Caenorhabditis elegans: one gene and its partners. The protein of the gene in region 1 interacts with the protein of each later gene in a biochemical or structural test. Each region holds a gene or a part of one and is shown on either strand. Other genes may lie near its edges.

What was found.
Region 2: of the proteins of spat-1 (region 1) and cdk-1, one has a biochemical effect on the other in vitro, tested with the Caenorhabditis elegans proteins (one study listed by BioGRID).
Region 3: of the proteins of spat-1 (region 1) and air-1, one has a biochemical effect on the other in vitro, tested with the Caenorhabditis elegans proteins (one study listed by BioGRID).

The regions. Positions count from the first base shown.
Region 1 is NC_003280.10:14,526,749-14,530,501, reverse strand, and holds the start of spat-1 (Protein aurora borealis), read right to left. Parts: upstream 1,751-3,753; 5' UTR 1,727-1,750; coding exon 1,636-1,726; intron 1,575-1,635; coding exon 1,477-1,574; intron 1,433-1,476; coding exon 1,377-1,432; intron 1,322-1,376; coding exon 1,192-1,321; intron 1,146-1,191; coding exon 1,027-1,145; intron 312-1,026; coding exon 33-311; intron 1-32. Other genes in the region: F57C2.5 (Strictosidine synthase conserved region domain-containing protein), read left to right, coding at 2,282-2,322, 2,377-2,807, 3,071-3,484, 3,664-3,717.
Region 2 is NC_003281.10:9,745,340-9,749,092, reverse strand, and holds cdk-1 (Cyclin-dependent kinase 1), read right to left. Parts: upstream 1,622-3,753; 5' UTR 1,620-1,621; coding exon 1,440-1,619; intron 1,390-1,439; coding exon 1,183-1,389; intron 1,135-1,182; coding exon 979-1,134; intron 928-978; coding exon 601-927; intron 554-600; coding exon 425-553; 3' UTR 241-424; downstream 1-240. Other genes in the region: T05G5.4 (uncharacterized protein), read right to left, coding at 1-56, 100-153; iff-1 (Eukaryotic translation initiation factor 5A-1), read left to right, coding at 1,940-2,040, 2,488-2,617, 2,662-2,814, 2,933-3,070, 3,120-3,185. UniProt on the Caenorhabditis elegans protein: Plays a key role in the control of the eukaryotic cell cycle. Required for entry into S-phase and mitosis. Acts as a component of the kinase complex that phosphorylates the repetitive C-terminus of RNA polymerase II.
Region 3 is NC_003283.11:8,219,488-8,223,240, reverse strand, and holds the start of air-1 (Aurora kinase), read right to left. Parts: upstream 1,754-3,753; 5' UTR 1,741-1,753; coding exon 1,690-1,740; intron 1,646-1,689; coding exon 1,584-1,645; intron 1,539-1,583; coding exon 1,353-1,538; intron 1,300-1,352; coding exon 1,156-1,299; intron 1,112-1,155; coding exon 1,003-1,111; intron 961-1,002; exon of another isoform or gene 792-960; intron 728-791; coding exon 500-727; intron 463-499; exon of another isoform or gene 268-462; intron 204-267; coding exon 3-203; 3' UTR 1-2. Other genes in the region: cogc-6 (Conserved oligomeric Golgi complex subunit 6), read left to right, coding at 2,037-2,126, 2,175-2,315, 2,362-2,875, 2,922-3,157, 3,206-3,753.

The DNA of each region.
Region 1 (3,753 bases):
AATTTTCCGTTATTTTCCGGTAATTTCCATACTTTCTAGGCCTTTGTTTGGGTGATGACGTGGCGTAGGCGGCCTTCACAGCCTCCTTTTTCCGTACAATATTCGCCAGTGATGCAGGAGTTCCAGCAGCTGCTCCTGGAGCCGATGATGACGTGGCATTCTCTTCGGCGCCATAAGTGAACGTGGTTACTGTACCATCACGATGTGATAGATTTATGTATCGGGGACCGTCTGGAGATGGAATATAACTGACATTTTTCGTCCAATACTCGTTGAGCACCTCCTGAATCTTCTCCTCCACCTCGGGAATTCTGAAAAAAATATATAAAAATTTGGATAAATATTAGAAAAAAAAGGCTAATATCGGATTATTTGCCAAATTTTTGGAGGAAAATTTGAATTTTCAAGCAGAAAATTGCCTGAAAATAAAGAATTTCGAGGGTTTTTATTTTTAAAAAATTATGAAAATCTGCTGGAAAATGGGATTTTTTGGCATAAAAAGCCAAATTTCAAGTTGAAAAATATTTTTTAAAGGGTTGTTTAATTGAAAAAAAATTGGGAATTTTAGCCGTTTTCTATGACAACTGAATAAAAACTAACTTTTTGGGGTAAAAATTAATTTTCAGACTCCAAAAACCGAAAATTTTGCTGTAGAAAATGAATTTCAAGCGAAAAATAAGAATAAGGCCCGTTTTTCCGGCCGAAATTGGATTTTCGAAAAAAAATTCAAAACATAGCCGACAGCTTGTGATTTTTCAGAGTTTTAGTATTAAAATGTATTAGAAACTGGCGGAAAATTAGATTTTTTTAATTCAAAAAGGTATGTAAATCAGCTGAAGATTTCAGAATTTTGGCGTTTTTTTTTTGCGTCAAAAAAATCAAATATTCATCTAAAAAGCTTGAAATTTTGCTAAAAAAAATTCCATTTTTCAGGACAAAAACTGATTTTATTGGAAAAAATCGGGATTATTCAGCCAATTTCCTAGAATCTTCGCACAAAGTGCTCAGTTGTTTCCCGTTCCTTACGGTGATCGATAGCTCGCCGCAATTTCATCGTCTGAAATATGCGCGGGCTTCAAAATGGCCAACTGTTCGATGCTCCATTGAAATTTTTCGCTGTCTTTCTGCTGACTACACGATTCTTGCTGGAAAAAACACAAGAATTTCCTCTTAAAAATCGTAAATAATTACAGAAAAAACGACGCGAGGGCTGAAGTTGATGGATTTGTGCAGGGAATTGAGAAGAATCGAGTCCAAGGGGTTTAGGCTGTTGTTGGCTATGAATGATGAAAGTTCTGCAGACATTGAGAGCTTGGGATCGCTGCAAATTGGATTTTTAGGCTTAGAATATAATTTAAAGTCCTAAAAAAGCTCACTTTTGCTGTGGTGTGATACTTTTAGAGTCATATCCGGAAGTTGACGGGTCAGTAGTCTGAAAATCAGGTTTTTAGAGATTTTTCTAATTTTCATTCGTACATTAATGCTTCTTAGCGGAGTTTTGAACCCGCTTCTCGCTTTGTTCGGAAAAATCTTGCTGGGACGCTCTGCGGCGATTGGCGACACCTTCCATTCAGCTGTAAGTTTAAGATATAATTTAAATATTTTATATTAAATTTTTAAAAAAATCGATATTACCGGTTCGCCCATTCTCATCATGCTCTAACGCGGTGCTGTTGAGTTGTCTAGACTCTTCCCCTTCGCAAAACGACGAGACATTGAATTCCATCTAGTTTCTAGTGCTCGAATAGCTGGAAAATTATTTTTTTTAATAATTAATGAAAAAATAAAATAAAATCACGGAAAGTAGCGTTTAATTTAAAGAAAATCACATTAGAAAATATAAAAAAGAAGAAAAAATTGCTTGTCGTAAAATAAAATACATGGTACGCAGCGGTGTTTGCACACAAACACGCACCGTAGTTTGAGCCACCACACCTAACATAACCCTGAGAAATCATAATTACCGGAACAATTATATACACTTATTGTGAAAATACATTTTTAATTGCAACATTTTTAGCATATTTGCAATTTTAGTTTTTTCAGAGTTCTAACTGTAAAAGTTTAATTATTTTTAACGTGAATAGTCATAAAATTAAACGTTTTCCCGAAGAGTTCATGTCTACAAAACACAAAGTTGTGAGGTCTCCTCAAGAAACTCCAAATTTTGTGTTCAAAAAACACACAAATATTTTTTATTTTTCTAATCTATGTTCCCCGAAAAAATGCGATAAACATCTTATCTATTCTCTAACATTTCAGGGTAATCGAACCGCAGTTTATGTGCAAAACGATGGGAAAGTTTTTCTTCTTCGGTTTTGTGTAGGTTTTTTTTCTAAAAAAATTTACAATTATTTCTAATTTTCAAATTTTCAGCGGACTTCTGCTTTCCTGGGGAGCTCTCTACTACCGATACAGTGACGAGAAGAACACTTCGGCGAGAAAATATCGATTTGATCCCCCGCCAGCACTCGTTGGCAACCTATTTATAAATGCGGGTCTGGAAAAGGCCGAGCACATCCTTGACGGAAAAATTGTTGGACCCGAATCTATGGTGGTAGATGATGAGGCGATTTATGTGTCTGTTAATGATGCAAAAGTGCTGAAAATCGTTGACGGCCGGGTTGTGAGCAAGGCTTCATACTCGGAAAAGTCGAAATTCTTCCCAGACTGCGGGCATTTCGATACGGAGCCCGAATGTGGACGGCCTCTTGGAATCCGTCGACTTGTGGCTGGAAAACCGAAATTCGTCGTTTGTGACGCTTATTTGGGAGTCTACATTGTCGATTTTACCGATGAGCAAAATCGTATGTGGAATTTCTGGAATTTCGCTCAAACAAATCCAAGAATTTTACATTTCCAGTTGTTGAAATTTCTGGATATTGTTTTTTACTTCAAATTTAGCTATCAAAAATAGTTTTTCCTGAATTTTTCTATTTTTCATGGAAAATCTCTTTTTCTTGCAAATTTACCACTTTTTCGAATTCCAAATGGCAAAAACTGGGTTATGTTGTTCAAAAAATTTTTTAATTTTCTAGAAAAAACAGAAAATCTTCTCCAATTTTTCCAGCAATCTCCACACAAATCCTGGACTCAAAGGTGCCAATCGATGGTCTAAAACCTCGATTTTTGAACGATTTGGACGTAATTTCAGAGGATGAGCTTATCATTTCGGATAGTTCAACACGTCACGACCGTCGGCATTTTATGGCTGCAATCCTCGAACATCAAGCCGACGGACGCATTTTTCATCTGAAAATCTCGACAAAAAGCGTAAAAGTGTTGGCTGATAAGCTGTATTTTCCCAATGGAATTCAATTAACGGAGGATAAGAAATCTGTGATTTTCGCGGAATGTAGTATGGCGAGAATCAAGAAATTGACGATTGCATCGAAAAAAGTGGAAATGTTCGCGGCCAATTTGCCAGGCCTTCCGGATAATATTCGTAGCAGTGGCCGTGGAACTTATTGGGTTGGACTTACAGGTTCGTTCCTACCTGCCTGCCGAAAGTCGAGAATTAAAAAAATCGAAATTTTGAAAGAAAAATCGGAAAATTTGAATTTCGAATCAAAACATTTTTTTTCTTAAAAAGATGTTTAATTCACCTAAAATTGTTTAAAATTTAAAAAAAATAAAAAATTTTTAACAATTTCAAATTTTCAGCGACTCGCTCAGCAACTCATCCATCTCTTCTCGACCGGCTCGGCAGTCTTCCTGGTAAAAATTTCTTTTTACAAAAAAAATTAGAAATCG
Region 2 (3,753 bases), on another chromosome or scaffold:
TAAAGATCATCGAGGAATTCTACAATCGATGGGAAGAAGAAAATTGCAAGAATAATCTTAATAGCTCCAGTTAGATTAGTTTTCGTTACCTTAGCTTACGTGCGAAATGTTAGACAGAGAAATTACGAATATTGGAATCACTGCAGCGATCATTCTTCAGAATGGAAAAATAATAATAATGAATTCTTAATTCCCTATTCTCATTTACACGTTGAACAAAGTGCTTGAATAAAAAAGAGCATGAAAGTAGAGCGAATTTATTTATCGCGGTGTGAAAAAAGAGATTACTCATGAATATCGAAGGGCCAAATAATCATCGTACAGGTAAAAAGTTGAAATGGTGATAGTTAAACAATACACGGAAGACGATAGGTGGTTAAAGCACGGGAGAATAAATAATAAAAATGATGATGAATGAATTACATCAAAAGAGTTCGAGTTCTCCTCGGTAATTTCCAGCTGGCAGCTTTGACGTATCCATGTTGTCAAAATAAGGATGAACGAGAGCTTTTTTCGCGTTGAGACGAAGTGATGGATCGTAGATCAGCAAACCCTGAAAATATTATTTTACTTGTTAAAGTACTATTTTAGAAATCTTACTTCAAGAAGAGAGAATGCAGTATCGTCCAAAAGGTGCTTTCCAGTCTTCTTGTCGTAGAACTTGTCACGGAGGAAATTCTCACGCCATTTTGGGAACGTCGCCTTGTAGTCCGGAAGTGATTCAACACCATTCCATTCCAACTCAGTCGGTGTGCCGAGAACTCTGAAGATGCGGAACAGCTCATCAATTTCTGAATCTCCTTGAAACAGTGGCTTCTTCGTGGCCATTTCAGCAAAAATGCATCCAATCGACCACATGTCTACGCCCATCGAGTATCTCTGAGCACCCATCAGAATTTCTGGAGCTCTATACCAGAGAGTGACAACCTGAAAACCGGACAATCATTGTATTGGTGTACAGAATGAATGCAAACTCACTTCATGCGTGTAAACGCGAATCGGGATACCAATAGCTCTGGCAAGTCCGAAATCGGCAAGCTTGATTGCTCCATTGTTGTCGACCAGCAAGTTCTGTGGCTTAAGATCGCGATGAATAACACGACGCTGATGACAAAAACACATAGCTTGAAGAATCTGGAACAATTATTCTTGTAAAGACATCGATTTTAAATATTTCCTCACTTGGAATGTGTAACTTTTAAGAGTTTCGAGCGGAAGGTATTCATCTTTTCCCAACTGATCCATGTATCGTTTCAAGTCGAAAGACAGGAATTCGAAGATCAGGAAAAGCCGGTTCTCCTGCATAATGACCGCTTCCAATCCAACAACATTCGGATGCTGGAGCTCTTTGAGCAAGCTGATCTCTCGCACAGCCGTTGATGGAACACCCTATAAGAATTATTGTTTGAAAAAACGAAACTGCTACAAAATTCAAATACCTCATCTTCACTTTCCAATCTGATTTTCTTCATAGCAACCATGGCATTGGTTCTTCTGTTTTTGCCTTTGTAGACGACTCCGTATGTTCCTTCGCCGATTTTTTCGAGCTTCGTGAAATCGTTGAGTGTGTAAACCGAATCTCCCTCGTGGGCCACTTCTCCTTCGCGAATAGGATCCATAACTAAAATTGGAAATGAATTTTGTCAGAACAATTGTAATACAACGATAGAAAAGGCGTAAGCGTGTAATTTTGAATCATTTCCACTGCCGCCGAAAAGGGGGGACAGTCGGTGCGAGACCATTGCTTAGTGAAAAGGCATGCACCTTTGATGACAATTTATTCCGAAAAGGAGAGTACGCGCTGAGAAGGATTGTTGTGAAACATTGCATTCATATGATAAAATTTAACGCAAAACTGTGCAGAAAAGAGAATAAATACAGGCCGGAAAATATAAAAATAACTACTCAAAATAATCATAAACTTGATTTGTTCTACTTTATGAGGCTTCCAACAAAACTAAACAGAGTTTCAAAGAAAAATCGTAATCTTGGCTTCGGAGGGTGGATGGCGAGAGTTGCTGCCCCGAAGACCATAGAGAGGTAATTTTTATTATTTAATTTTACATGATGAAAGCGAAATTTGGCAAGTAAGCAACGAATGCATTTTTAGGAAATTATTTATTCAGATAAATCAAAAAATAGAGCAGATTCCTTGAAATCCTAAAAAAGTGAGGACTTCGATTCTGTCTGAAGATGGAAGTTGGCGCCAAATTTTTGGCTGCGTAGCGACTCATTCTTCATTGTGATACGCAGCCAAACAACGTCCTTTCAAAAAAATTCGCGCATTTGATTTTCTCTCGATTTCTATACTTTTCTCAGGTTTGTACAGTGTTTTTCTTGCTAAGATCAATATTTTATTAGAAATGCATCAAATTTCTCAATCAAAACAATTTTTTCCTGCAAACCTTTTTTTCCAAATTTATTTTTTGAATTTCTCGTTGGAAACTAGTTGAAAATGCTAAAATAATTGATAAATCTTTGTTGCAGTATGTCCGAAGATCATCACGACGAGGAGCAATTCGACTCTGCCGAGTCCGGAGCTGCTGCTACTTTCCCGAAGCAATGCTCGGCTCTTCGCAAGAACGAGCACGTCATGATCCGAGGAAGACCATGCAAGGTAAAAAATAATTCAGTGAATTTTCCTAATTAGAAATTTTTTAGATCGTCGAGATGAGCACCTCCAAGACTGGAAAGCACGGACATGCTAAGGTTCACATGGTTGCCATCGATATTTTCACCACCAAGAAGCTTGAGGATATCTGCCCATCCACCCACAACATGGACGTCCCAGTCGTCAAGAGACGCGAGTACATTGTAAGTTGTTAATTAGTTTTTAAGAAGGCTTTCAAAAAAATCAACTTTGGACGGTTAAACAAATCTTTTGAAAAATGAGTTAATCAGCTGTAAAAAATGTTATTGATCAAATTTTCAGCTCATGTCGATCGAAGACGGGTTCTGCTCGCTCATGGATCCAGAATCTTGCGAGCTCAAAGACGATCTCAAAATGCCAGAAGGAGACTTGGGAAACACTATCCGTGAGGCTCTCGAGAAAGACGAAGGAAGCGTCTTGGTAATTATTTCGACATCCACCTTTTGAATCTGAAAATTTTGATTTTCAGGTTCAAGTCGTTGCTGCCTGCGGAGAGGAGGCTATTCTCGGATACAAGATTTCTACCAAGGAATAATTGCATTTATATACAATTTCATAATAAAAGCAGTTCCAGTTTAATCATCCCGCTTTTTATACATCATTCGAAAAACATCGGGCAATGAACAAGTGCACCTCCGCTGGTGTTGTGTAATGTGGGTGTTTTATGTGTCGTGTTGATTGTGATATCTGCTCACCAAACGAAAATGAATTGCTTGCAAACCGCGGAGGTGACATCTGTCCATGGAGTGTTAAATCAGATTCAGTTGTCAGACTTTGTAATCACAGTTCCTAGTTTTTGGAACTACATGGCCTGTGCAGCTTTTCCACCCTTTGTACACTACACCTTATTGCTTATTGAGTTGACCCCAGGTTGGCCGCGTGCCAATAGAGCTGTTCACTTTAAAACGTGTCCTCCTCCGCGACCTGCGAGCACCCCCTTAACCACGATAATATCTAGGTGCAGTATCAAAGACCCACCTTCCTCAAACCTCACTAGCCATCCTTCCTTCATCAATTGGCAATTTAAAAGAGTCGCATAAATTTCACAGTCACCCAGGAAGATTTCGTAAACTCTACGCTTCCATCATCATCTCGCCACATCT
Region 3 (3,753 bases), on another chromosome or scaffold:
TTTTATTGATTGGCTGTAGAATTATTGCGACTGGATTTCGTGAGCGTCGAAATGAAGAGTGGAACTTCAATGTCTTCGCGTTGCTTCATTTCCTTAATCCACGGATGAGCCATGATGTCAACAAGTGGGAGACGTTCTTGGGGTTCCTTTTTGATTATTGCATTTATCAAACTGGCAGCTCCGTCAGTCACAACACTTGGAATCTGCAAAAAAGAAGCAATTTAGATGAAACTACTTGGGAAACAAAATGGAAATGAATGTTTGAGAACTGTCCCGAGGAGAAAAGGAACCATATTGCATTAAAAGCAAACCGGCACACGCATCTCGAGCTAGACTTCTATTGCAGTTCTTTGAAGCTTCTCACAGATGAAACCGTGAGAGGCAGGAGATATATGACATGAAAAGATGAAATGGTTACCCAAACCATCACTTCATGCACATATTTCTGTTGGAGAACTGCTTATTAAGATTCTAACAAATTTAGTTCATAATTACTAACATAAATCTTGCACTCCTTGATTCTGGCGATCAATTTATCACCAGTTTGATTGGCGAACGGAGCATATCCAACAAGCATTTCGAAGAGAAGAATTCCAATTGCCCAAATGTCAACATTAAAGTCATGTGGCTGATTGGAAACCATTTCCGGAGCAAGATAATCCATGGTACCGCACAATGTATGGCGTTTCGAGTGATCAGCAACGACGGACCATCCGAAATCGGCAAGCTGAAATACAAGTCTTATTTTTTAGAAAGAATGCATAAAATGTGTTGAATTTAATTTTTACGGTAATTGTCCCGAGGAGAAAAGGAACCAGATCGCATTAAAAGCAGAACGGCACACGCATCTCGAGCTAAGCTTTTATTGCAATGTTACTGTGTGATCAGAGTATAAACTCTTTTTCAGCTAGTGACTTCTTTCGGCTCGGAGAACCAAAGGATGCACTGAGAACATTGCAGAAGACTTTTTGAGTACTTAGTTAACCATATTTATACGCGTACCTTCAGATTGAGCTTCGAATCAAGAAGAAGATTTTCAGGCTTAATGTCTCTGTGAATAACTCCTTTCGAATGGCAGTAATGCAACGCATTGGCCAGCTGTCGCACAAATCTGAGGAAATTTACTATATTTCTGAAATATCTACAAAATCACACCTTCCGGCAATGACCTCATTCACTTTGTGTCCAGGTTGTGATTGGAGGACATTAAATAATTCTCCTCTGCTGGCATAGTCGAGAATGACGAACACACGCTTGTCATCGTGAAAGTATCCATAAAGAGTGAGAATATTCGGATGACTGAAATAATATTGATTAATTGATTTGGATGAGATGACTTCGAGAAAACATACCGCAAATGATATTGAATTTCGATCTCTCTCTTCAACTGATGACTGACTCCAAGTTGAAGCAACTGTGTTTTGAAGAGTACTTTCAAAGCTATGATTCGCTTGGTCTTTTTTTCACGAGAGATGAAAACGTTTCCAAACTTTCCTTTTCCGAGAGGCCGTCCAACGTCAAAATCATCAAGACTCCAGCTAAAGTCCATTACATTGTAAAAGTAATAAATCAATTATTCTCACCATGATTCTTCCCTTGCCTGGTCAACTCTCTGAGGTCTGCTATCTTCCGTAAGTGAAATAACCTGAAGATTAGAATTGATGCCTTTCTAATTTTAATAACAATTACCTCGGCCTTCTGATCGTCTATCACAGGAGCAGTATTTTCCTTTCCGCTCATGATTAATGTAATTCTGCGAGTTGAAATATTATAATAAAATTGAGGAATAAAAAATTTAATGAGAAAGGAAAAAGAAAATCGCGACTAATTCAAGAACACGTCAAAAATTAGAACAAAGGCAGTCACTTTGAATGAATTTTGCTTGGCGGGTTGTTGAGCGGCATTGCTAAACAACACGCGCTCTGTTATTTCGGAGTGTCGTTGCTGACACGTTGCGAATAAATCAATTCTGCATTTTCTATTCCACTGAGTTCTGCGATTTTTTTCGCAGAATTCGGTGAATTTGAATCAATAAAATGTCAGTAATCGATAAAACTTCATCAGCAGTCAATCCTTTACGAGAAAAAGTGACTACTGCATGTGCAAAGAAGCTGTATAATGACAAGGTCAGCTAAAATATTAATTACAAACGAAACTTATGGCATTTCTTACAGGATTGCATCAAAATTGCTGATTTCATCACTCCACTGGTCGAAGATATGAACCTTGATTCAAATGTTGATAGGAAACTACACAATAAACTAGAACGATACGAGTTGAGACTAAACAAGGAATATTTGAGCGAGTTCGAAAAAGTTAGAATAAACCTGAAATCATTTCATTTTAAATCTGCTATTTCAGATAAATAACATTGTGCAAAAATTCGATGAGCTCTGTGTAAAAATGAACTCCACATGCACGAATTTATCAAAGCAAATGGAGACTGTAAAGTTCAAAAGTGTTGATTTGGTGCAGAAAACAGCAAGCTTGAAGGAGAAGAAAGCGAGTATAGAAAGCCGTTGTAATATGATAAATGAATTTCTCGAAAACTATTCTTTATCAAGTGAAGAGCTTCGAGAATTAGACGAATGTGAACAAAGTGGTCATCTATCGGAATTTTTCTTCAAAGTTCTTGAGAGGTGCCACGAAATTCGCGAGAACTGCAGAAATATGGTTCAGGAGCAAGGACATCTTGCCGCTTTTGAAGTGATGGAAAAAATGCAAAAAATTGACGAAAGAAGCCATGCAATTATCTGTAACAATCTGAAACGCGAATTTCAAAATCTGACAGTTGATTCTCATCAGAAAAAGCAAATTCTTTCTAAAGCTTTCAAAATCATAAGTCAGAATGATGCTGTATTCCAGCTTGCCATTGGTACGTTTAGTTCTTCAAATCTACTCACCATTAACCTAGTTTTCAGACCAATACATTTCATCTCGCTCACAAGAATTGCTCAATCAGTTTGTTGAAATTAACAAAATGGCTGTCCAAATGCCTGAAGGGTTGGCAGAACCACTGAAGGCAGTTGGAGATATGCTGACTTCGATTCACGAGCTCACGGAGCAAGAAAAACAGTTGTTCAGCTCAATTTGTTCCGCAGAAAATCTTCCGATCGTTCTTGATGAATGCCTGAAATCTTTGACTTCGCCGTTCAAGGTAAAAAGTTTAAATTATTGGACTATAATATATGATAATAGTTTACAGATTAGGGTAGAGCAACTGCTGTCGACAGAAAAAAATGCCATCACAATTTTCAAAATGGGAAATATTTTAATTTTCTATGCAAACAAGTTCGAGACTTTGATTCGAAAAGATAGTTATTTTACAATAATGCTCGCAGATCTCGTCAAAACAGTTCGTCAAGTATGTATTGCCGGTATAAATCATCACGTGGACGGACTTATGAGAAAGATGACATCACCACACTATGATCTCCTTCCAGTCCCAGAAGTTCGGCAATGCCTTTCACTTTATCACGGGCTTATTTCAATTGCTGTAAAAACAGGAGATTTGAATCTTCTTCTTGAACCAGAAAGGATCTACGAATATGTCTTGGAACCACTTATTCAGACGGTTCAACTCAGTGCAACTCGTCTGAAATCTGATATTGAAGTTTCTGTGTTCACAATTAACTGCTTAACAGTCATTAGAAGTGCAATCTCGGAAATATCGGCGTTCAAGAAGAAGATTGAAATGATTGACGCGATGATCGAAGGAAATTCAGACGTATTGGTGTCAGTTCAAGTATCGGA